2 separate regions of the Mus musculus genome follow, and region 2 is reported to be linked to region 1. The links are microRNA targets in miRTarBase. Many come from high-throughput screens and were not tested one by one. Region 1 holds a microRNA gene; the other region holds the end of a gene's coding sequence.
What was found. Region 1 holds the annotated microRNA mmu-miR-200a-3p (UAACACUGUCUGGUAACGAUGU, at 7,434-7,455, opposite strand). A microRNA usually pairs through its seed, bases 2 to 8, with sites in the 3' UTR of a target mRNA and lowers its output. Matches are read on the target gene's strand: a 7mer-m8 pairs with bases 2 to 8, a 7mer-A1 pairs with bases 2 to 7 and ends in A, and an 8mer does both.

Region 1 (11,135 bases):
GTCGTCTGTGGATAGGTGGGTACTGAGCCTGGGTTTCTGGCTCAGTAAGGTTTTTCCTGCCCCTCCCGGCTGTCAGAAGCCCCACCTGCATCTTGGTCCAGCTGACTTAGCTCAGGCCGGAGCCTTTCCTTGACGCTGCTCCCCATCTGTTTCTCATGGGTCCAGCCTGAAGACCAGTGGTGTCAGATGGGGAATGGGCAGGTACCCATTCAATCTGCCTGAGCCCAGCCAATGCCAGCAGCTGCTGGGAACTAACCCAGACCCCCTGGACCTTTCTTCAGCCCAATACAGACCTGACTAGGAGGCCTGAGGGTCATTACACCCAAGAAAGGAGACATTACCAGCCATGGACTCAGGCAGAGTCCATGTAGTGTGGAGATTACATTGGGAGTTAAGAGGGTGGCCCCGTCTCCACCCTCCTTACCAGTAGGAAAGGCTCCATGCAGGGAGTGGGCTAGAGTGTGAGACGGGAGTCCATACAAACATGATTTGGGGATGTCTCCAGAGGGCAGGGGTCACAATGTCTATGATGACATCATGGGTGACTCAAGTCTCTATGGTCAACCAGGAGAGATGAGAAACTTGCACGAAATGGGGTTGGGGTAGTGAGGGCCCGCTGTGATGGTACGGACAGGTAAAGCTTGCAGATTCTTGAGCATAGTGTCCCTAGTATGTGGACCTTTGTTAGCTTCTTTCAGGGACTGCTTGGTTGGCTGGCTGGGCATGGTCTAGTGTGAGCCTCACCTCTTCCCTCTCCCTGGAGGCCCTGACTTGAGGGCATGTGTAACCAGTCCCAGGGCCCCTCTGCATTCACCTGGCACCTCAGTGTGGCACGGATGGATTCTGGACCGTTTGGATCTCTTGGAGCTGACACGGGTTCGAGGGGGCTGACCCCGGCAGTGGATGAATCTTGGACGGTTTCGTGTTGCAGGCATAAGGGCACCAGGGCGAGGAACCCTTGAGGCAGATGTAGTCCCTATACCCCTTCGGGGTCTTCGAGCAGCCCGATGTCCCAGCCCTTGAATGGGACAGACAGCTGCACCCACTTTGCTTGGGGAAGGAAGCCTCCCCAAGTCCTGGGCTGTGGCTTCAGCTTGTGCCTCACTTCCATCTCTGTGAGGCCTTCCGGCCTGTGGGTGTAGGGCCATCTTTGCATCCCGTCTCTGCCTAGTGAGTTTTCTTCGGCCAAGACTGTTCTGGCCTCGACGAGTGTGGCCTCTGTGTCTGCTGCAAAGAGGTTGCCTATCAGTCTTGTTGCTGGTAGAGTGCACATCTGCAGACTTGAAGGTCAAAGAAGCTCCAAGCCCCAAACAAAGGTCCTATCGGTTTATGGCTACCCAAGTGCTCAGCCCAGGTCCTACTAACACAACCTGTCTATAGCTACCATCAACTCCTCTTCTCCCAGCACCCCTGCCCCAGATGTTGTCCCTTTTCCCTATTTGCCGTCTTTGGAACATTTTAGGGCATTTTAAATTAATTCCTAGACAAAAGTTTGTGCCTCCCATCACATCAAGTGAATAAACCCAGTGTGTTGGGTGAATGATGAGACGGTACAGAGAACTCTGTGACTGGGAAGGGTAAGACAAGGCCTTTGGATAGGAGCAGGTCAGCCTTAAGGAGGAAGACAGGTCTGTGGATTGACTGACTGACAGCAAAGAAAGGCCAAATATGGGCATCATGTCTATCAATTCTACCCCTACTGAATCAACAGGAGAAGAAAAAAAAAATCCAAAAAGTTCTGTAGGGTGGAGAGAAATCCTGGAATGAGAAACTCATGCCACTCTAGAGGACAGGCTGCAAAGATGGAAGAATCCAGGAGTGCCTGGAGATCCCTTCCCAACCGAGAAAAGGAAAGCTCCCAGGAAAAGGCTGAGATAGGAGCTTTAGAACTGGGCAGGAGTGTAGGTGTGGGTGTGCGATTCTGCAGTCACTTTCTTAGCTTCGTATTCTTGTTATTTTAACATTGAATTCAGCTATGAATTATTATTTCTTGTCATCTATATTTACTAAAGCTAAGCTAGGTGTGGTAACACAAGCTTGTAATCCCAGCACCTGGGAGGCAGAAAACAGGAAATTGCCAAAAGCTTGAGGCTAGCCTAGGCTACATAGAGAGACCCTGTGAAACAACAACAACAACAAAAAAAAAATAGCAAGGCTCAAGATATAGCTCAGCTGATACAGTGCTGCATAGCATATATAAGATCAGCCCCGGATCTGGTCCCCTGCACCAGGAATGGCATTGCACACTTAGAATCCCATTACTTGAGGAGGATCAGAAATTCAAGGTAGTCTGACTATATAAGTTGGTGACCAGCCTGAGCTACACTACATGAAACCTTCCCTCAAAAATTAAAAAAACAAAACCAAGGAAAACCCACAAAAATAACAAAAACTTCATAGAAAACCTAATGAGTGAGTAGGGATCTATGTACCCAAGAGAGGAAGGACTGGGGTACAGCATCTAAACTGGGAAGCTACCAGCTACTGCCCTTATCTAGGAAGCGCGTTTCAGGGCGTCTCTGAGGAGGAGACCCAAGATCCAGAAAGGAAGTTTTACACTAAAAGTTTCAGTTACAGTTTCAGGAAGCAAGCTGTCTAATACTGAAGCAAATGGTGTGGTCATGAATCTTGTGATATTACATAAAAGTTAAGGGAAAGCTCAAGGTGAGGAGCCAGACTGAAGCCTGAAGTCTTTATAATAAATTTAAAATAAACATGTTTACCTGATCAGATAAAAAGACCGGCAGGAAATCACACCCCGGTACAATGGGCAGGAGATGCGTTTAAACCTGAAGAAGATGGCCAAGAAAATGACCATGTCAGTGCTCTGCTGAAGTTTTCTCTAGACACACACACGTTTGGCAACACAGGGCTCTGAGAAGGTGCTGACATTTTTTGAAGGGCCGGTGCCTCCCAAGCTGCGCTCACTGTCTGGGGATGCGTTCTCTGTGGATCTCAGGAGGTGGCCCTTCTGAGGGGTCAGTTCTGGGGGAGACAGACACGGCTCTAGGCAAAGAGCTCCTTCTAAGGGGTCCCAGCCCTCCCCAGAACTTGAGTTGCCCACATGGACCAGTCCCGCCCCACAAGACACGCCTTTGTTGGCTGAGACACTTGGGTTTGGAGAGTGTGGCCTTGGCAGAGGGCTGAACTCAGCCAAGCTGCCCAGTCCTCTCTCCTGTTTATCTACTTCCGGAAAGAGTCAAAAATGAGGCACAGGAGGGCAAGGACTCAGCCTCAGTCCTAGTCAGGACCCTCAGCTTGTAACCACCTAGTCTCTCTTACCTGCTCTCAAGGTCTTAGGAACCCTCTGCTGGGATACAACAGTGGTGACCTGGCAACTGTCTCCAGGCAACTGTTACTAGGGAACTATGATTCAGCAGCTGCCCAAAGGTAAACAAGAGTTTTAGGTGGATGGTGAAAGGGACCATTGAGTTGAAGGGCAGCCTTACAGAAGTTGGGCAAAGCAAGAAGTGGAGAATGGGTCAAATTGATCTGAGGAGGCTGGGGGGAAGCTGTTCCTGAGTTCACAACGCCATCTGAATCTGGGGCATAGCCCCACATCTTCCATCCTCCCATGAACTATATATATATATATATATATATATATATATATATGTGTGTGTGTGTGTGTGTGTGTGTGTGTGTGTGTGTGTATGTATATGAAATTTTTAAAAGATTTATCTTATATATGTGAGTGTACTGTAGCTATCTTCAGACACACCAGATGAGGATATCAAATCCTGTTACAGATGGTTTTGAGCCGCCATGTAGTTGCTGGGAATTGAACTCAGGACCTCTGGAAGAGCAGTCAGTGCTCTAAACCACTGAGCCATCTCTCCAGGTCCCCTTCCCCCCATGAATTCTTCCTAGATGATTTTGAGTATTCACAGGGACTCCTTAATCCATACCTAAAGAACTAGGATCTAACACCAAGCATGGCTCAAAGTGGCTTTGAGGCCAATTTGTAGTTTCCTGCTGGGGTCCTTGGGATCTGGTGTGACTCCTGCTTTTGACCCCAAGTTTTCAGCCATATGGATCCACATTCCTGTCATCTTTCAGAGCCTTGCAAGGATCACAATAACTTGACAGGGGCTACATGGTGCTTCCAAAAACCAGGACCATATCCTGGAGTCCATGACCGTGCCTTTCTAAAAATAGAAATCTGTACAGATGTCACTGAGTTAGAATTTTGGGTGCAGTCATCTTGTGTCAACCAGCCGTACTCTAAACCCAGTGACTGGTGACCTCTTTAGAGGGAAGCAGAGATAAGGGTATGTGACTGTAAGCCACAGGACCTGTGAACTAAGACGAGGAAGACACTTGAAGACTCCCTCTAGGGCCTTCTTGAGGTTCTAGGGGCATATCTTGGAAATTCTGGAAGACAACTGTTGTCTTTGGCTACCCTGTAAATCTCCTCACCTTCAGGTTCTTTTGTGGTTCTGCTCATGTTAAGGGGCTCTAGCATCCCCTTAGAGGCTGGGCATGACAAGTCACTCACGTGGCCTTCCCTAGTCTAAGCTGCCAGTGTGGGAGCTTGTGCTTGGCAGGTCTGAAGGAGCACCATTTCTCAGCTGTGCCCAGAGTCCTATGGCGATAGGAGTGCCCCATAGGTTGTCATTCTCTACTTGTGAGATCTGCCCTTCTTATGCTGTGCTGGGAGTCGGGGTCTCTGTGGTCAGTCCAGTGCTGGATCAAGAGACCTCTCTGCTCTAGACTAATAGTACAGTGGGACTGCAGGTGGGCTGGGGCACATAGCACTTCTACTAAACCCTGGGCTGAGTTATTGGGGCTGAAAGCCTCCAGGCTGGACAGGTAGCTCACCCAACCCTGGAGAGGCTTTGGACCAGCAGCCAGCTGTCTCTGATCCTGGCTATGACATTTTCAATGCACACTCCAGGAGCTGGGGATTGTAGCTCAGGGGTGGAGTGATTGCTTTCACATTCATAACACCCTGGGCTTGGTTCCTGCACAAGACACCCAATTCTCACTCCAAGGCTGACTCTTGGCTGAGACAGGAGCCCCCATTTTCCTGATTCACCTGTCCTTGGTAGGTTCTAGAGTACATATTGCATACCAGAGCTGGTTTGTGTAATGACTGGCTGGGTACAATGAGCCCCATGTCTCTCTTCTATCTGGCGGGAGCACCGATCACTGGAGTCCCCGTGTCCTCGGCTTGATCCTTTGCAAGGCTGCTTGTTAATGTTTTGTACGGTGAAAATGAGATGATCAACATAAAATTTCAGAAATCACACAATTTATTGCCTTACAAAGATTTTTTTTGCCTGCATTTTATTTACAATGCTTGAAGAGATGACAAAAAGGGGACCACCTATTATAGAGCGCACGATGGGCGGACAAGTCCCTCAGCCACATAGAACTTGGAGCCCAGCAGGTTTCTGTGGAAGATGAAGTCCAGTGTCCCTATAATGGTTCTTTAGAGGAATGGCCTGTCCAGGGCTAAGAAATCTGTTAGGGCATGTTGGGTTCCTTCAAGAGGGCAGTGGATGAGGTAGGGTTTGGCTCTGCTGGACTCAGGCTGTATTGGCCAACTTGAGGTTTGCAGAAGTCTAGGTACTGAAGCCAGCAGCTTGCAGATGAGGTCTAAGAGGTTCACTTCTAGTTCTTATCACAGCAACACTCAAACTCCCCATATAGCAAATGATGTAAGCATTGGGAGTCATTCTAGAGCAACCGTTTTAGCAACAGCCTTTTGAAAATTCTCAGGGACATGGGGTGGGGGTGGGATCTTTAAGATCGGGCCATTCAGCATCCAGAGTTAGACTGAAAGATGACTCTCAGATCCTAAGAGCCAGAGGTGGGATGCATAGGAAGAGCTCATAAGCAGGCTGACAACGGCAGAGCTGTGCAGCCTTGTGCATATTCCTGGGTATGAGTCACTATCACCTGGTCTGGCACCTTGGCAGTGCCCCTGTCCCTGAAACCCATATACTTATTTTCCACTCCGGGTTTGGGCACAGTGGTTAGACTTGCTTTTACTCTCCTTGGTTCCATGACCTGAGAATTTTGGAGAGGAGACAAAGGACCAAGGTTTTAGATCTCCTCTTGTCTCCTACCAGTGTTGATAGCACAGGGGCTACAGAATCTGCAGGTGACAGCTGACGACAGATCGAAGTCTCTGTGTGGAGCCCAGTGGGCTATGGAGGGCAAGAGGACTGTGACCGCCCCACTGACTATTCCTGAAAAGGATGGATACGGAGGCCTCAGTCTGCTGTGGCTGTAACCGAAAGCTACTACAGGGTCAGAGGAAGGCAGTCAGGCTCAGCGGGGCCTGTATATTTAAACTGTGGTCTGTTTGCATAGAGGGCTTGATGAACCCAGCTCTGGACAGTTGTAACAGATGGATTAAGGTCTTGTCTCTACCCAGTGTCCACGAGGTGGTGAGGATGTCGTCTCCAGCGGTGATAAGGCCGTGGATGGACGGCATTACCAGACAGTATTAGACAGATGCATCCAGATCTAACCATGTCTGGTAAGACATCCATCAGCAGGGCAGTACAAGGGCCTCCCCATCTGGGCAGTTGGATTTGATACCTGTAGAGGGAAGGCCAGGGTTGGCTTCCTGCCTGCTCTGGTCCAAGGGCCATTCTTGGGGTTCACCCTTCTAGGACCTGGGACTACTCTAAGGACTTTCTTACCAGGGCCCAGCTTGGTTGCCTGTTCCTCAAGTGTGGAAGTCTGTGGGTGCAACAGGAGAGTCATCTGCTCACTCTTACTTGGCAAATGCTCGTCATAGCACCTCTTTGGTTTTCTGAATGGCTGTCAGCTTAATGAGTAACATTAAAGCCAGGAACAGACTCCTTCCCCCGGAAGAGTCATCTAGGCTGATACTGGGTGGGGCTCCCTGACCCTGTACTCTGGCTCCAAGTAAAGAAAGATAAGAAGTAATCCTGGATTCTGGTTTGGGGCAAAGTTCCTATTCTGGAAAGCCATTGGGAAGGAATAGAGATTCCTTGTTCTTAATTAGGAAACAGCTGATGACGTCACAATTCTGTGTACCAGGCTCAGGTCCCCGAACCCACCCTTGCCCATTGGTCCCATAGGCACTGACAGTCCTTATGCTAACACTGCTATCCATGTCTCCTTACCTAGCTCAGCATCCTCACTAACCCTCACAGTCTCTCTAGGAATCAATGAACCCCCAAATCCAGCAGAGGAGTTGGCAAAGGTGGGCATCGCTGCTCTGAGAATGAGTGACAATCCACTTCTACTCCAGTACCCCTGGCATGGTGAAACCATCCCTTGTCCCAGCATGAAGTAATAGACAAGGGTCAAAGTCCAGCCCCCACTGACTGCTGATCTGTAGAGCTGAGACAGGCCCTCTGCACCCAGCACCCAGCCTCGGCCTAACTGGAGTCCAGGAGGACAAGTGTGTATCATCAGCCTGTCTTCGGCGAATGGTGGGTCACCTTTGAACATCGTTACCAGACAGTGTTAGAGTCAAGCCAAGAAATCCAGCACTGTCCGGTAAGATGCCCACAGAGGCCCAGGTATGCTCTGGCAGGAAGACACAGGTGGTTTCCACCCTCAGGGAGGCCCAGTGGAAACCTGATGCCATGAACAGCCAGAGACCGTATATGCATCGCAATAAGCCAGCAGAGATGTTGACCCTAACTCATACGGTCTGCTTTGTCCAAAGCAAGGGGACAGTGACACATTGGCTCAGTGTGCATGTTGGAGGTGCTGTTGGTCAATAGGTCGGTGCTCACTTGATGCAGGAAGGTAAGGTATCCCAGGCTTGAGTAGCCCCACTAGGGGGTCAATCAGTACACAGCTCCTAGATGTAGGTGAGGCAGTTTTTGGCATGAGGCCCTCTGAGCCTAGGCGGAGACTTAGCCCTTTAGAGCCTTTGCTGCACTTCCACCCAGCGTACACCTGCCAGGTGTGGTGGCAGCACCTGCCTGGGTATTGTATGCAGAACCCAGGCACTTGACTGTCCTAATTCCCAGGGCATTGGGAGGGGGCGCCCCCAGGGCAATGGGAGGAGCCTCTCACCCCAGGATATAGAGTGGCCCTCAGAGGTGCCTGGTTTGGGGGAACTCTCCCTAAAGCCTCCCACCACCCATATCGCCAAGGCTAACTCTTTGCCCCATAGCCCTACCTTGGATAAGGTAGGTGAGGTGTGGAACTGGGGCCCCTGGAGGCTGGGATCAGGAGGCGGCTCCATTGCTGCATGCAGGGCTCCGCCGTCATCATTACCAGGCAGTATTAGAGATCAGACACTATCCAATGCTGCCCAGTAAGATGGCCACGGCTGCCCAAGTTGGATATGGAGGCCGCCTAGCAGGGAGTTGAAGATGACTAGATTCCATGGGCAGGGCCCAGATGCCTAAGTGTCCTAATCCCCAGAGCATTGCAGAAGGAGGGCACCCCTTCAGGACAACAGCAGAAAGCCCTGCATTCTCATCTCCAAAGATAGGTAGTGGAGAGGTCAACAGCTTGAAGTAAGATCAAGTTCTCTTTTGGAAATTAGATGGAAAATAATTAGGATGGGGGTCTTATAGGCCCTGAAGCCTCTTTCTTGCCTCTCTATAAGGCCCAGAGGAAGGACTTAGCACCCATGGCCATAGACAAGTTCCCCTGCCCAGCCAAACCTGACCTGCAGTGGACTAGCTTGGGGCCCAGGTGAGGACTTTGAAGGGTCAAATAGTCCTTCCCAGAGGCTGACAGCCCGAAAGAGCTGGGAGGCAGGCTATGTAGACTTCCATGTGACCAATGGCCAGGTCAGGATCAGGTCATAGACAGGCCCTCCATCTGAGTATATTCACTACAGAATAGCCTAGACAACAGGTCCAGTCCCATTAGGGTACACAGTGTACTTAAGGTTGATGAGGTTCACTCAGTGGGCCTCTGTCTCCAGGATACTGTTCAAGTCTACTTTCCTGCCCAGCCCCTCTTGCCTTTTTCAGGGCCCAAGAAGGATACTGGGATGAGGGACCAGGGATCCAACACTTCAAGCGTATGGGAAAAGCAGCCCCCAGTATGAATACAATAATCACATACCCATAGAAAGATCTTTTTGTTGCTAAGGACATAGCCTGTAGTCTCCCATACAGAGCCAAGAAACTAAGCACCTGTCCCAAGGATACTTGGGACTGAAAGAGACTCAATCTGTGCCTCTCCTCATCCCAAGTCCGTCTTTACAGAAGTATTTCTTCTCGTTTTTCTGGTCTTTTCTATCACAGACACAATACAGGTGGCTCAAGCCCTGTACTGATTTCCTCGGATCACAACGAAGGCGTGTGTCACTGCCTCCAGGCAGCCGCTAGTTCTCCAGCCTCTCTCCTGAAAGCCAACATTTCTGAGGACCTGACCTGAGCACAGGCTGAGCAGATGGGAATGGACACTCTATAGGAGCCTAAGGTTTTAGAAACTGTCCTAACTCTTCGTCTATCGCCTACAAGGTTCCCAGTGCTCTCAAACACCCGTCAGATATACTTCCCCTTTCCCGAACTTTTTTAGTTCTATCCTATCAGATTCATAAAACCGGTGCTTCAAAAGGACTTTCTCTCTCTCTCTCTCTCTCTCTCTCTCTCTCTCTCTCTCTGAGCTTTGGCAAACTAAGGATTCTATTTGAGAACTAAGTGGACTAAGCAGAATTTCAGTTATCCTTGTGGCTTCAGAGCCACAAAGAGTGTGGGAGCTGGGTGAGGGTAAGCACCAAGGATGTTGCCTTTCCCCCTTCTGGTTGTGCCAAAGAAACAGGGAAGACGAAATGGTATCTAATGATGAGCCTGATCCCTGCATCCTTGACTACTCAGGGTGAGCACTTCTTAGGGAACATGGGAGGCTAGGGGACTCTGCCAAGTGCATAGCTGGCCCGGGCATAAGCCAAAAGGTCAGATATATGGGGGCAGGTGCTCAGACAGCAGTGTGTGTGTGTGTGTGTGTGTACAACCTTCAAAATGCAGATTCTGTAGGTCCTCCAGCAAAATTTAAAGGCTGAACAGATTCTAAAAGTCATGAGTTGGGACTGGGTGTCTTGGTGTCCAAGCACTGTTGAGTATGGGGGACCCTGCTTTATCCAGCATAGGGGGAAGGGAGAGACAAAAACATGACAGAATTACAGCCATAGGTCAAGAAATGAAAAGCAAAAACAGGGGTTCTATTTGGAGCCTGTGTGGTGCCCATCTGGTCAGTTGTATCTGAAAGTGAGGTTCAGGTCATGGTCCCCACAGCTAATTATCAGCATCTACTAGGCTTAGTTTAGGAAAATTAAGGAATGGATCCAGAAGCCAAGTGCCCCCAAGGCTCCTCTGCAGCAAGCACCCTCCCCCTTTCCAGAGTGCCTTGATCCTCGCCTGCGAGGCCAGGGAAGGTTGGGAATTTGTGGCAGAGGAACGCGTTCCCAGTGTGGGAAGTTGCTGGTTAACTTGCTCAAGGGGCCTTAATCAATGCTGAGGCCAGAGAACAAAGCTCTGAAAGTCAACCTCTCCTAACTTCGATGCCAGCGGCTGTGGGAGGGGGAGGGTGGGGGCAGGAAAGACTTGTCTTGTCTACACTCAGGCTACCTCTTAGTGGCTGTTGGAACTGCGTGTCTTCAAGGCAAAGCCGCCATTTCATCCACACAGCCGTCAGCATTGTCCCTTAGCCCTTCGGTTGTATAGCTCACCCTCCAGGTCCACTGCACCCCTGAGTGCCAGCCTCCTGCGACCGGGGAACTTCCTTAGGCCATTTTACACACTAAGAACATCCTGGCAAATTGATTTTGCAAATAAAGTATTTGCAAATTACCAAGATGCCTGAAAATTAACAATGGACTATATCCATATTTTATGGCTCATTTGCATTTTCATAAATGCAAAACATTTTGCTTGATTCAACAATCTACCGATTGCTCCAACATTTTTATCTAGGTTACCAGAAAAACAAAACAAAGTTGAACTACTTTTCCGGATGCTCAGCTAGAAAGGGCTTAAAGTAGTCACCACATATATTAATCAAAACACTGCACTCTTCCATCCTATGGATTTTGTTCAAGAACAATGAAACAACATACTCTATATTATGCCTAAAGAAAACTAGGCAACTTTTTCTTCAACATTATCAGCTCCTAAGTTTAAACTCAGAGAGTTTGGCCATCTGGATACAAACTCAGGGCTGGGCATGCCTAGACG
Region 2 (11,135 bases), not on the chromosome of region 1:
TCAGGGCAGGATAGTCTAGGGCCAGGAGAGCCTTCATTCGTCGCTCAGGGAAAGGCGCGTGCAACCTCTGAGTGTCCCGGTAACGTGTGCCTTTGTTCCCCACCCAGGTGAAAATCTGGTTTCAGAACAAAAGATCCAAGATCAAGAAGATCATGAAAAACGGGGAGATGCCCCCGGAGCACAGTCCCAGCTCCAGCGACCCTATGGCGTGTAACTCGCCACAGTCACCAGCGGTGTGGGAGCCCCAGGGCTCATCCCGCTCTCTCAGCCACCACCCTCATGCCCACCCTCCGACCTCCAACCAGTCCCCCGCGTCCAGCTACCTGGAGAACTCGGCTTCCTGGTACCCAAGCGCAGCCAGCTCAATCAATTCCCACCTGCCACCGCCGGGCTCCTTGCAGCACCCGCTGGCACTGGCCTCCGGGACGCTTTATTAGATGGGCTACTTTCTCTTGCTCAGTTTTGGGACTACAGTGTTGTGCTGGTTTAGAAATCAGAAAGAAAGGAATTCATACGGGGATGTTTGAACAATGGAAACAAAAAAGATTCATGTGTAAACTTTTTTTTTGCATGTAAGTTATTGCATTTCAGAGAGCCCCGCCCCCTTTTTTACGAAAAGAACCCTTTTTTTTTTTTTTTTTGCGCAACTGTGGACACTATCAATGGTGCCTTGAAATCTATGACCTCAACTTTTCAAAAGACTTTTTTCAATGTTATTTTAACCGTGTAAATAAGTGTAGATAGAGGAATTAAACTGTATATTCTGGATAAATAAAATTATTTCGACCATGGAAACTGCTCCTTTTTGGCCCCCTGATAACTGGCTAGTGAGGTTATATGCAGACGGTTAAGAACAGATGAATTCTCCAGAAATCCAACAATGCAAAACAGAAGTCAGGAGCTGTCTGGTTGCAGAAATGTGTTTGTGTTGGATGCTCTATTTCATGTATCTGTCTGCACATATGGCCTGTTTATAGTACTGTCGTGTTTAGGATGGTTTTTTCCCTCTAACCACAAAACCATTTAAATGATATTAAATATAGCTCCAAATGTTTTGGGTAGGAAGGAATATTGAAATTAACTACATTTCTCCTACCGTGTGTGAGGGAAAAAGCCAACAGAAATCCCTTGATAACCTGGTATTCTAAGCACAGAGTGATTCTGGTGGGGACCCCCTCCCCCATCTGCATGTGTATTGCAATTATGAGACAGGGGAAGAAAAGGAAATTTGTTATCATTCCTCATATATATATAGTTTTTTTTTCTCAAAAATATGAAATGTTTGGGGCATAGCAAGCAGTAGTTTAAGCCTTGGAGTCCTAATGTGGATGACTACAAATCTGGCCAGGTTCTTTCTGCCAAGAAAATACCATAGGGATTCAGAACAATAGTGAACCTGAAGTACTGGGCCAAACAAGAAATATGGGGGTGGGGAGAATTACTTTTCAAAAAGGTGGGGGGGGGGCTATATTGGTTTCATTTCTTGTGATAAGGTTCTTCATATAATTGTCTTTCACCGGCATCCGTACTTCATGCCTCTTTCAGGATCTCCTGTGCTGCTTTTACATAAAACAGGGGCCAGGCAAGTTCCAAGTCATCGGAAATGCGATGTTTGCTAGAATTCCTTTGTGAAGCCATCTTTAAGGAAGGAGGATGGGAGTTGCAGCAACCTGGCCTCTGATTTGTGCGTCCCTTACACTTCTGCATGTAGATATCTAGCCTATGCCCAGAGCTACAGCGTGGCTCCACGGCTGTGCCCCAAGGCCTGAATTATAGGCATCTTTGTGGCTGGCTGTCCTTTGGTCCATCTAAGTCTATTTCCAAAGAATATGTAATGTTAGAAATTACTAGATTTATGGGAAATATTCCAGAGCTAAGAAGTCGGCAGCAATAAATGTGACAAAAGCGCCCTCTTGGGAAGGGGGATTAGAGCATGAAAAACTGCATCTTCTCATCTCAGAATTTCAGAGAGAACCAGCAGTGAGAACGGAAAGGGCAAGCTGTGTGCCCTTGGGCCATTTACAGAGTCAGTTTCTGCCTCTCCAGTCTCTTCCCATTCCTCCGTTCCCATCAGCCTTCTATCTCCATTTGTTCTCCTTTCTCTTTTCTTGTTCTTTCTTTGCACAGGTGATACCAATCCCACCAGTTTGAAACTCAGTGGACTTGGGGATGGCCAACATATATTTCCAGGCAGCCTGGGCAGCCTGGAAACAGCCTGCCTAAACAGAAATTTATCCCCTGTCCTCACTCCACTCTATCTGTGGGGGGCAGTGGTGTTAGGGGAGGTCCTGGCCCCATTTTGTTTTCTGTAGTGTACAGGGAGTAGAATGGAGGAGATGAGGGTATCTATTTTCTGCTCTTTCTTTGCTTGCAAGATTTCAGCAGTTTCCATTAACCAAATGCCCACAGCTTTCTGAAGGCTTGGTCTTGATTTCCAGGACCTGGCTTTCTGGTGGTCACAGGCCTGTCCCCACCCAGGAGTGTATATTTGGGAAGGTTGGCAAGGGCGGAGGACATCCATCGCACCCCCCCCCCCAATATTTCTCGCCCACTGGTTTCCCAAGAGTGTCAAAACTGTGCTGGGAACAAGCTCTTTCCGTCTTGGCATTCGGAGAGGGTGGATGTCATCTCCCTGCTGCTGCGCTGGTAGGAAGGGGTGTGTGTAGTTTTCTACACTACCTCCGACCCTCAGATTCAGCCAAGCAAAGGCAAGGGCGGGTCCGGACTTTTCTCAGGAAAAAAGAGGGATGCTCTTTAATCACCATCCTTCACCCCAAACTGGGACATTGCTGGTTGTTAAGGACACCAAAGTTGGTTTGTTGCTACGCCAAAAGCCTGGAGCAGCAATGGCAGGGGTTGGGACCTGGTTTTAGGATTGCATCCCCTGTGTGAGCCTCACTAGTAGAGGTCTCTTGAATTGGGAGGGTTTTTTTTTTTTTTTTCAACTTGGATGGGGAGCGGTGAACAAAAAATATTCTGGCAAGTGAGCCGCAACGGGCTTTCCTGGCACTGCGGGGATTCTCCCTGGGGAATTTAACTCCCTGCAGTCCTGCGCCCAAGGATGTAAAAATAACAGATCCTCAGCAAAGTCTAAAAATATCTGTTTCTCTTGCCCTCCCTCTCACCTCTCCATTGTTTCTTCCTGTGTGTACCAAGCGCATGTCCTTCCATTTTGGCACTGACAGACCCCGCTAGCCCTGGACTTCAAGTAGAAGTCTCTTGCGCCTGCCCCTTCTGTTCCTCACTTGCCTAGTCCTCTGTCTAATGCCCCGAAGATGAATTAAGCCGACTTCAGAACTAATTTTCTTCACCGTAGACCTCCCCCCATCCACGCAATACTTTCGACCTCCATCTTGAGACCTCCCTGCAAAGACTCAGAGGCCCAAGGCATGTTGGCAGGGCTTGAGTGATTTCCTCGGTGCCCTGCCCGACTCCGGAGCCCTCCTGTTGAAGATCAGATAAATTGGCCTTTGTTTGAGACTTGGGTTGGGCTAGGCGGGTTTCTACCCTCATTCTCCCCCCTTTTTTTTCCTGGCGGCCACCTCCTTGTGGGACAAGAGGCGGCCTGGGGATCCGAGGGAAGCTGCATTCCTGTGGGTGCCAGGCGGCTCCAGTGCTGAGCCACAGAGCCTCACACACACACACACACACACACACACACACACACACACACACACACACACTGAAGAACCCGCAGACCTCGCTGCCCTTGATCTATCTCTATCTCTCTCTCTCTCTCTCTCTCTCTCTCTCTCTCTCTCTCTCTCTCTCTCGCCCCGCACCTACCCGGGAGTCAGTCCACTCCCCCTCGGATCCACCCTAGGGCTCTGCCTTGCATAGAAAAGCTTTGACCCACACAAAGGTGTACACGCATCCCCTCCCAGTGACACGGGCCAGATCAGTATCTCCCCGCCTAAGGACAACCCTTTCTCCCCCGCCCCTTATCCCACGACCCAAGGCGTGCCGGCTGGCCTCCGATGGCTCCTTTGATCGCACGGGACGCCCAGTGGCTCGCGGGCTCCTGACTGACCCACAGCAAGCCTGAGTTGGGCGTTACAGCACACAGCCACCTCCACAATTCAGTACCGAGCACTCTCTAGCTTGAATTGCCCTGGATGCCTGCTGGAAACTGCTCTGCACTCACCCTCTGCTTCTTGCTTCCTATTGTTCCCAAAGAGAGACCTTTAGGACTACTCAGTCACCCCATCCCAGCCCCTTCTCCGCCACCTCTTGGATCCAGTGCCTCCCACTGGCTGCTGGGATCTGGCCAACTTAGAGCTCTCCAGCTCTTGGAGAAGGCACGCCCTGAGGGCAGTAGCTCAGAGAGGTGGTTGGGAAGTGCGGCACCCGCGAGGATCAGCCTGCAGTCCCCACCTCCTCCACTCTCAAGCACCTTCCTCCCTCCCCCTCCCCCCCGCACCCCCGTCTGCTGGGTGCGGGTTTACACTGCCCAGCGCTTGGGGAGGGGGCTCCTTGACTTACTCTGGTCTCCGACTCCTGGCTCCCACCACCCTCTTGTTTCCAGGTTGCCCACAGACCTTGCACATTTTTGACCCAATCCCAGGCCGAGAGAAAACAGCCCAAATCTTGGTGGTGCGCATGGTATTAGTTAAACCTTTCCACGCAGCCTGTACCGGAGACTCGCATCCCTGGCGTTTTCTTTTGCTTCTGACAGGCTTTAGATTTTTAAGTGGTGCAAGGCAGAAAGGGTACAAGGTGTCTACTGCCAGAGGTATGAATGACTGAGGGATGGAGGAGCCTTTCCTTCGCGGTCAGCTAGGGCTGCCTACTGTAATGTAACAACCTGTTTTATACTTTTGAGTTCTAACTTTGAAGATACAAACCGAATTTAAGCGAGTCTCTCTTTAAAGGAAAGGCGAGTCCTGTTCTTAACAGCAATGAGATGTTTCTGCGCGTTGTTCGCTCGCTCGGACTTCTGATTTAAGTGGTTCTGAATTCATTTCTTTGCCAAAAGCACACGTATTATTGAGTCTGTTCCGCATCCTAAACCAAGGTTTATATGAAACCGTGAAATACCACACATTATGACCTTTCACCACAGGAAGGGAAAATGGCTTCATGACCTGATCCCCCCACCCTTCTCTCCTCCCTCCCAGTTTCAATAACAATTCTCTGTGGAATCCACCATACACAGTCTATTGCTTTTATTTTGTTTTGTTTTGGTTTTTTGTTGTTTTTGTTGTTGTTGTTGTTGTTGTTGTTGTTTTGGTGGGGTGGGTGTGAAGGATGGTAAACGGTTCAAAGCTATGATTTATCTTAAAGCATTTCTTTTCCTTGAAAGGCGTGAAAACAGAAACCGCCAGCGGACGCTTATTCTCACCTAGAACTATTTCAGCCACTTGCCATTTGCAAGAGGGGGGGAAGGGTGGGTGGAAGGGGGTGCGGGATATGGACTCAACTTTCATCTATAAACAGGGGTCACTAAACAGGGGACATTTCATTATTGCCCTTAAATTCACAGGAGCTAGGGAGCCTGCTTGCCACCCTGCAGGGTGGCCTTGGTTGGGCAGCTTGTGTGGGTCGGTAAGATGTCCTTGGGAGGAGGGGAAATCAACACAATTGGCTTTGAAACTGGAAAAGAGGCTGAAGAAATTCTCTGTGCTCAACAGGGAAACTGAAGTCCTGGGATACAAGGTTTAGGTATCTCTGACTGGGATGTACTCTAACTGGGATGTCGCTACCAGAACTAATCCAGAGGCTAGGCTAACTAATCCAGACTCTGCTAGGGCATGACTTATATTTCTGCAAGTAATAGAATCCTCAGAGAGTTTGACTCCAGGACCAGAAAGAGTCTCCCCATCTCTCTTGAGCTCTCTTTCCCTTTTCCATTCTGTCCTTTCCTGTTTGAACATGATCAGGAACCTTGCCCTGTTAGGCGAATTGTGACATAGAAGCAACCAGAATGGTTTATTGGGGGGGGGGTCACTAATAAAGTTAATGATGAAATTTAAAATATTAACCAAACCAACAGCTTCCCAGATGGCTATATTTAATTAACATTAATTAATACGTGTTCAGCTAATATCCTCTAGGACGCAGTAGAGCTTCTTTATTGTAAAAGAGAAGAGGGATAGAGGGAAGACACACTTTACAGCACCCAGGGCAGTTGGCTCTGATGACAAGAGCAATTGTAGATTCATATAAGAATATGTTTATAAACAAGTGACAGGCACATTCTGAGGTGGCTTTGGTGGAGAGAGTGGAGGGACTGACAAATATCCTTTGCTGTGGGGGAGGGGCTGTGGGGGAAGGGCACCTTTAAGAGTAGGAAAATGCTATGGTAGAGGGAAGAAAGACGGGAGTAGTTTTTAAAAGAAAAAAAAAAGAAAAAAAAAAACTATTTGAGCCTGCAGGCAGCAGCAGCAGCAGAGGCAGCAGCAGCAGCAGAGGCAGCAGCAGCAGCAGGGGCCCTGTGAATGCACCAGCTCTGCACGGTGGAAGACTTGGACACATAATACTTCAGACTGCTGATTTGCTATTTTCTTAATTCTGGCTCTTCTTTTTCCATATGAATCAAACAGTCTTTTGTCCTTCAGGGTTTGATTTGATCGCTACTGTTCACATTTCACTTTTGTACTTTCCCTCTTCCTATACCATTACTCATTGAGTGCCCTGTGAAATTACAATCGTACATTTTCAACTCAGCAACCCATTTGCAGTACAAAAAATAGGGTCTAAATAATGGCTGAATTAGCCCTACTGGACAGTTTCAGATGTAACACTCTGTAATAATTATATTGCAGGCTGGATTAGGATGCTATTATCATAATCTGGACGTTTACAATTATCTGTAATTTGCAAAGATGCGCCAGGTCTTGATTACAGCAGCTTTTTTTTTTTTTTTTTTTTTTTTTTTTTGTATCACGCTAACCATCACTAAACAGTGACAGTAATAACAGCTAATTTTGCTGGCAATATAAGAGGTGCTGGGGTGTGCAAACAATTTCACACCTGGATGTGCTCACTCAACCAAGAATATAGAGACAGAGCCTCTGCCCTGAGACTCAGAGAAACGCTCTCCTGTGCCTCCCTCCGCTCAGTATAGATTTCTAGACCCTGATCATTGCTTAAGAGATATTCACCGGGGTAAGTTTTTATTTTTGGCATACTTCTAACTTCTAAGTACTGTTTTTATTTCTCCTCTCAGACTCTCCAAGCTATATACAATATGTTGTTGTGATTTACTTGAATTGCAACTTTGGTTTCAAGGTTTGGGCTCTGACCTTTTATTTTCCTTTAACAGTAAGAGTTGATCTGGTGAGAATGGGATCCCTAAGAACCTGACTTGCCTGTCTTGCTTCCGTGCGACTGATGTGTTTGGTGTAGTCTGTGACTTGAGACGAAGAAAGGACCAGGTTTCTGCGAGTTGTAGAAGGAGCCCGAGAGTCCAAGCTAAAAATCTATCTGAAAATTGTTACTTACAATTGATCTTAAGTAAATACATTGAGGTTTTTATATGCGGCCATGATTTTAGGTTTTGAGGCATCAGAGATCAAACAGAGCTGGCTGTGTGGCTTGCTTCTTTGCAGTCAGCTATGGGGATGGATGTTAGCAAAAGCAGGTGTGCCTGAATCTCTGGGCTTTGCAGCCCTTTGGGCATCTTCTCTCCAGCTGGGGGAAAGTTTGTAGAATAAATGGCATCTGAAACCCTTCAAGGCTGTTCCGTAGGGCCTTGCATAGAGCTGTAGTCTCTGTCTCTCTGTATCTCCCTGTCCGTGTGTGTGTGTGTGTGTGTGTGTGTGTGTGTGTGTGTGTGAGAGAGAGAGAGAGAGAGAGAGAGAGAGAGAGAGAGAGAGAGAGAGCGAGAGCGCAGAGGGGAGTGGGGAGTGGGGGAGGGGAAGGTATCCAGACCGTGGAGCTTATTGCCTGCTGAGCCCAAATTCTGTGATCCTGGGCTTAGAGGGGGATGATTGGTTGGGACACAGAATCGACAACTTATGAAGCCAAGGAACCAGTGTAGTCTATGTACCGAGGAAGATATTGGCAACAAGCTGTGCTGTTCCGTCTCTAGATGACGCTGTTCCCTGACCCTGTAAATGTTATAAGTAGCTAGAGTGCTTAGTATAGGATCCCACAATGTCTTTGACTGCCCACCCTGCCGAGAGAAGCTTTTCTACCATGGCAAGAACCTTTGCACTAAATTGTGTCCAAAGATAATGTGGTGTTTATTTGTTAGAGAGGAGGAGAAGTTGTCTCTCTCTTATATTCCTACCCAATAGCTATGCTCCTCACCCCAGCCCTTTAGTATAGTCAGAACAGGGCTTGGGAACTCAAACTCTACAGTCTAGTAGGGAGTTTGAACATGGGGAGGCGCAATAGACACCTCAACTGGCAACACCTTTCACCCATGCTCCTCCTACCAATCCCTCCCTCGGGGAACGAGTTTCCTTGGGGGTCAATACATTTTAAAGGAGAAAAAACTATTAACCCTTGGAGTTCAGGGAATCCAGTGGGAGCCCAGTTCTAAGCAGAGTTCTAGGGGACTATCTGACAGCATCTCTGTAACTAAGCTCATGTTCAATAGGAGATAAAGATGGATGCAGAGGCATCAGCCCCACCTCCAACCTAGTAATAAACATTTTCTGGTTTCAGAATTCTATACACTCACAGTGGTTTGGCATATATTTGGTGAAATTTTTTAAGGAAAAATTAGTGTTGGTTTCGATATATGGTAGCTTTTTCTCTAACATAATTTGAATAATTCAGCAAAGCCCTACTACCAGCTGTACTTCTGCAGCCTCTTCCATTCTTTCCAGCATTATAATTTTGGTTAATTTTCAATTTTAGGTCCTACGTCTCTGCAATTTGTGTATGAATAACAGAATAATTTCCCTCTTTTGTTTCGCCTTTCCTGTTCCTGAATCTAAATAAAGATGGCTTTTTAGTATTAAAAGTGGAAGAAAATTACAGGTAATTATCTTTGACGGTAAAAACGCTGTAATCAGCGGGCTACATGAAAAATTACTCTAATTATGGCTGCATTTAAGAGAATGGAAAAAAACCTTCTTGTGGATAAAAACCTTAAATTGTCCCCAATGTCTGCTTCAAATTGGATGGCACTGCAGCTGGAGGCTTTGTTCAGAATTGATCCTGGGGAGCTACGAACCCAAAGTTTCACAGTAGGAAGGGGGAAAAAAGAAAAGAAAACATTTTTCCTAATGTAACAATGCGAATGCTAGAAAATGACAAGACTGATCGGTTTTAAACCATTCTGAAGACTGACTGAGCGTGGAAGTTGCTCAACAAAAAAGGGAACGGGGATATTGGTAAGTAGTCTTTGCTTTGTGTCTAATTATAGTGACTGTCCTTTTGCACGACTGTATGTCGCTGTCATTATATGGAGCACTCTGAGTATCTCTATTGACTTCTGATAAATGGCTCAGTGGTTTCAAGGTTCATAATTTGAAGGATGCCCAGGTCTGTAGCCATTAATTCTCACAGTATGGGGCTTCCTGCTTGTATGACGAAAGGACTTTTCATTTTCATTATTTCTTTGCTTTCCACGAGATCGGAAGGATGTGTTTCTTGCAGGATAGAACATTTTCCTACCTTGCTAGCTTGCAACGGGTTTTTAACATTAAGTGGTCAAAATTGTGCACTTTGCTTTCTGGGTTTGTTATTCTTTTCTCTTTTTACTTTTTTTTAAAAAAATGCTTCCAAAGGCAAATATAGCTGTACTATTTTATCTAGGGAAAGGGGAAGGAGAATATTCAGATACAGTATGGAATTGTCTGGATGTCTAAAAGTTAAGCTGTGTCTAGGTTATTCTAATGTTTAAAAATACAAAAGTGTGTGTGAATCACAACAAAATTAAAATGAAAGCCTGAGAACACCCATGGCTCATGTTAAAGTACCTGAGACAAAGACTTGTGGTAGAAACTGACATCTTTTCAGGCACTGAATACGTATGTATAGAGCACACCATATTAGGAAACAAAAATTATTTTAAGAGAGATAGAAAATATAGTGGAAAGGGAGGAAGGATAGACAGACAGAGACCTGGAGCAGTAGAGGACACTCCCAACATTTTGTGGCTTTTACTCCATATATGAAAGAAGACAAAAACATACAAAGTATATATACAACTAAAATTCAACAATATATACAGAAATGTTCCTTGATATAAACGTCCCTATTAGCTTAGTGAATGCCACTATTCACCTAAGAAAGGTGTCAAAGCAATAGAATGGTGATTTTGGTTGTTTTCCTTGGTCTTTCTTCTTTCCAGTTCAGAGTTTGGAGGTGGGTTATGCAAAGAGCATCTTTCTTGTTGCTGTTACTGTTTGTATTAGCTGAGTTGTCATTCCTGATCATTGCATTTTGAAAAGACATGCAGTGTTTCCTTTGTGGCAATGTTCTACTTTTTACAACCAAATTTTCTTCTTTCTTGAAGAGATATTGGGGGGGGGGTTCTTCCATTTCTTTTCTTCTTCTTCTTCTTCTTCTTCTTCTTCTTCTTCTTCTTCTTCTTCTTCTTCTTCTTCTTCTCCTCCTCCTCCTCCTCCTCCTCCTCTTCCTCCTCCTCCTCCTCCTCCTCCTCCTCCTCCTCCTCCTCCTCCTCCTCCTCTCAGTCTCAGATTGGTAAATAAAAATCCAGGAGTCCAAAATCTTTGTTTTTTATCATGTAATGTCTTAAACTCATTAAACAAGTAAAAATGCTGCCATGTTTGTGCAGATTCTTCTGCCGGTGGAGAATGTCTGTAAAAAAAAAAAAAAAAAAAGTCATTTGGATAGAGAGTACTAAAGAGGAGGCTCGGGGCCTGAATCCCAGACTGTGAAGGAAAATATCCTTACAGTGATGGGTTTCCAGAACACTGGCACAAAAGCCTCTCTCTCTCTCTCTCTCTCTCTCTCTCTCTCTCTCTCTCTCTCTCTCTCTCTCTCTCGTGTGTGTGTGTGTGTGTGTGTGTGTGTGTGTGTGTATGTGTGTGTGTGTTTATTACAAAGTTACTTATTAAGGTTACTAAAGACAGTAAATTGCAGAAGAGGAGGGAAGGGGAAGAAAGCAAGGATGGAAAGATAGGCAAGAAATAAAGAAGAGCGAGTAAAAGGGATGAAAAACAAGGAAAGAAAGGGAGGAAAAGAGAAAGGAAGGAGAGGAGATGAGAGGGGGA

Region 2: the mRNA of Dlx5 is a reported target of mmu-miR-200a-3p. Seed matches in the 3' UTR shown: 7mer-m8 at 472-478.

What each region holds. Positions count from the first base shown.
Region 1 is chr4:156,047,478-156,058,612 of GRCm38, forward strand. It overlaps Mir200a (microRNA 200a), which reads right to left and starts at 7,508; the gene lies at 7,419-7,508. Gm13648 (predicted gene 13648) reads right to left here. Exons shown (of 2, transcript NR_132444.1): 2 at 5,238-6,552. Mir429 (microRNA 429) reads right to left here and starts at 6,510; the gene lies at 6,428-6,510. Mir200b (microRNA 200b) reads right to left here and starts at 8,273; the gene lies at 8,204-8,273. It also overlaps Ttll10.
Region 2 is chr6:6,867,461-6,878,595 of GRCm38, reverse strand. It overlaps Dlx5 (distal-less homeobox 5), which reads left to right. Exons shown (of 3, transcript NM_010056.3): 3 at 108-795. The coding sequence ends at 437. Dlx6os1 (distal-less homeobox 6, opposite strand 1) reads left to right here and starts at 6,969. Exons shown (of 2, transcript NR_155496.1): 1 at 6,969-7,107. It overlaps Dlx6 (distal-less homeobox 6), which reads right to left. Exons shown (of 4, transcript NM_010057.2): 4 at 10,626-10,719.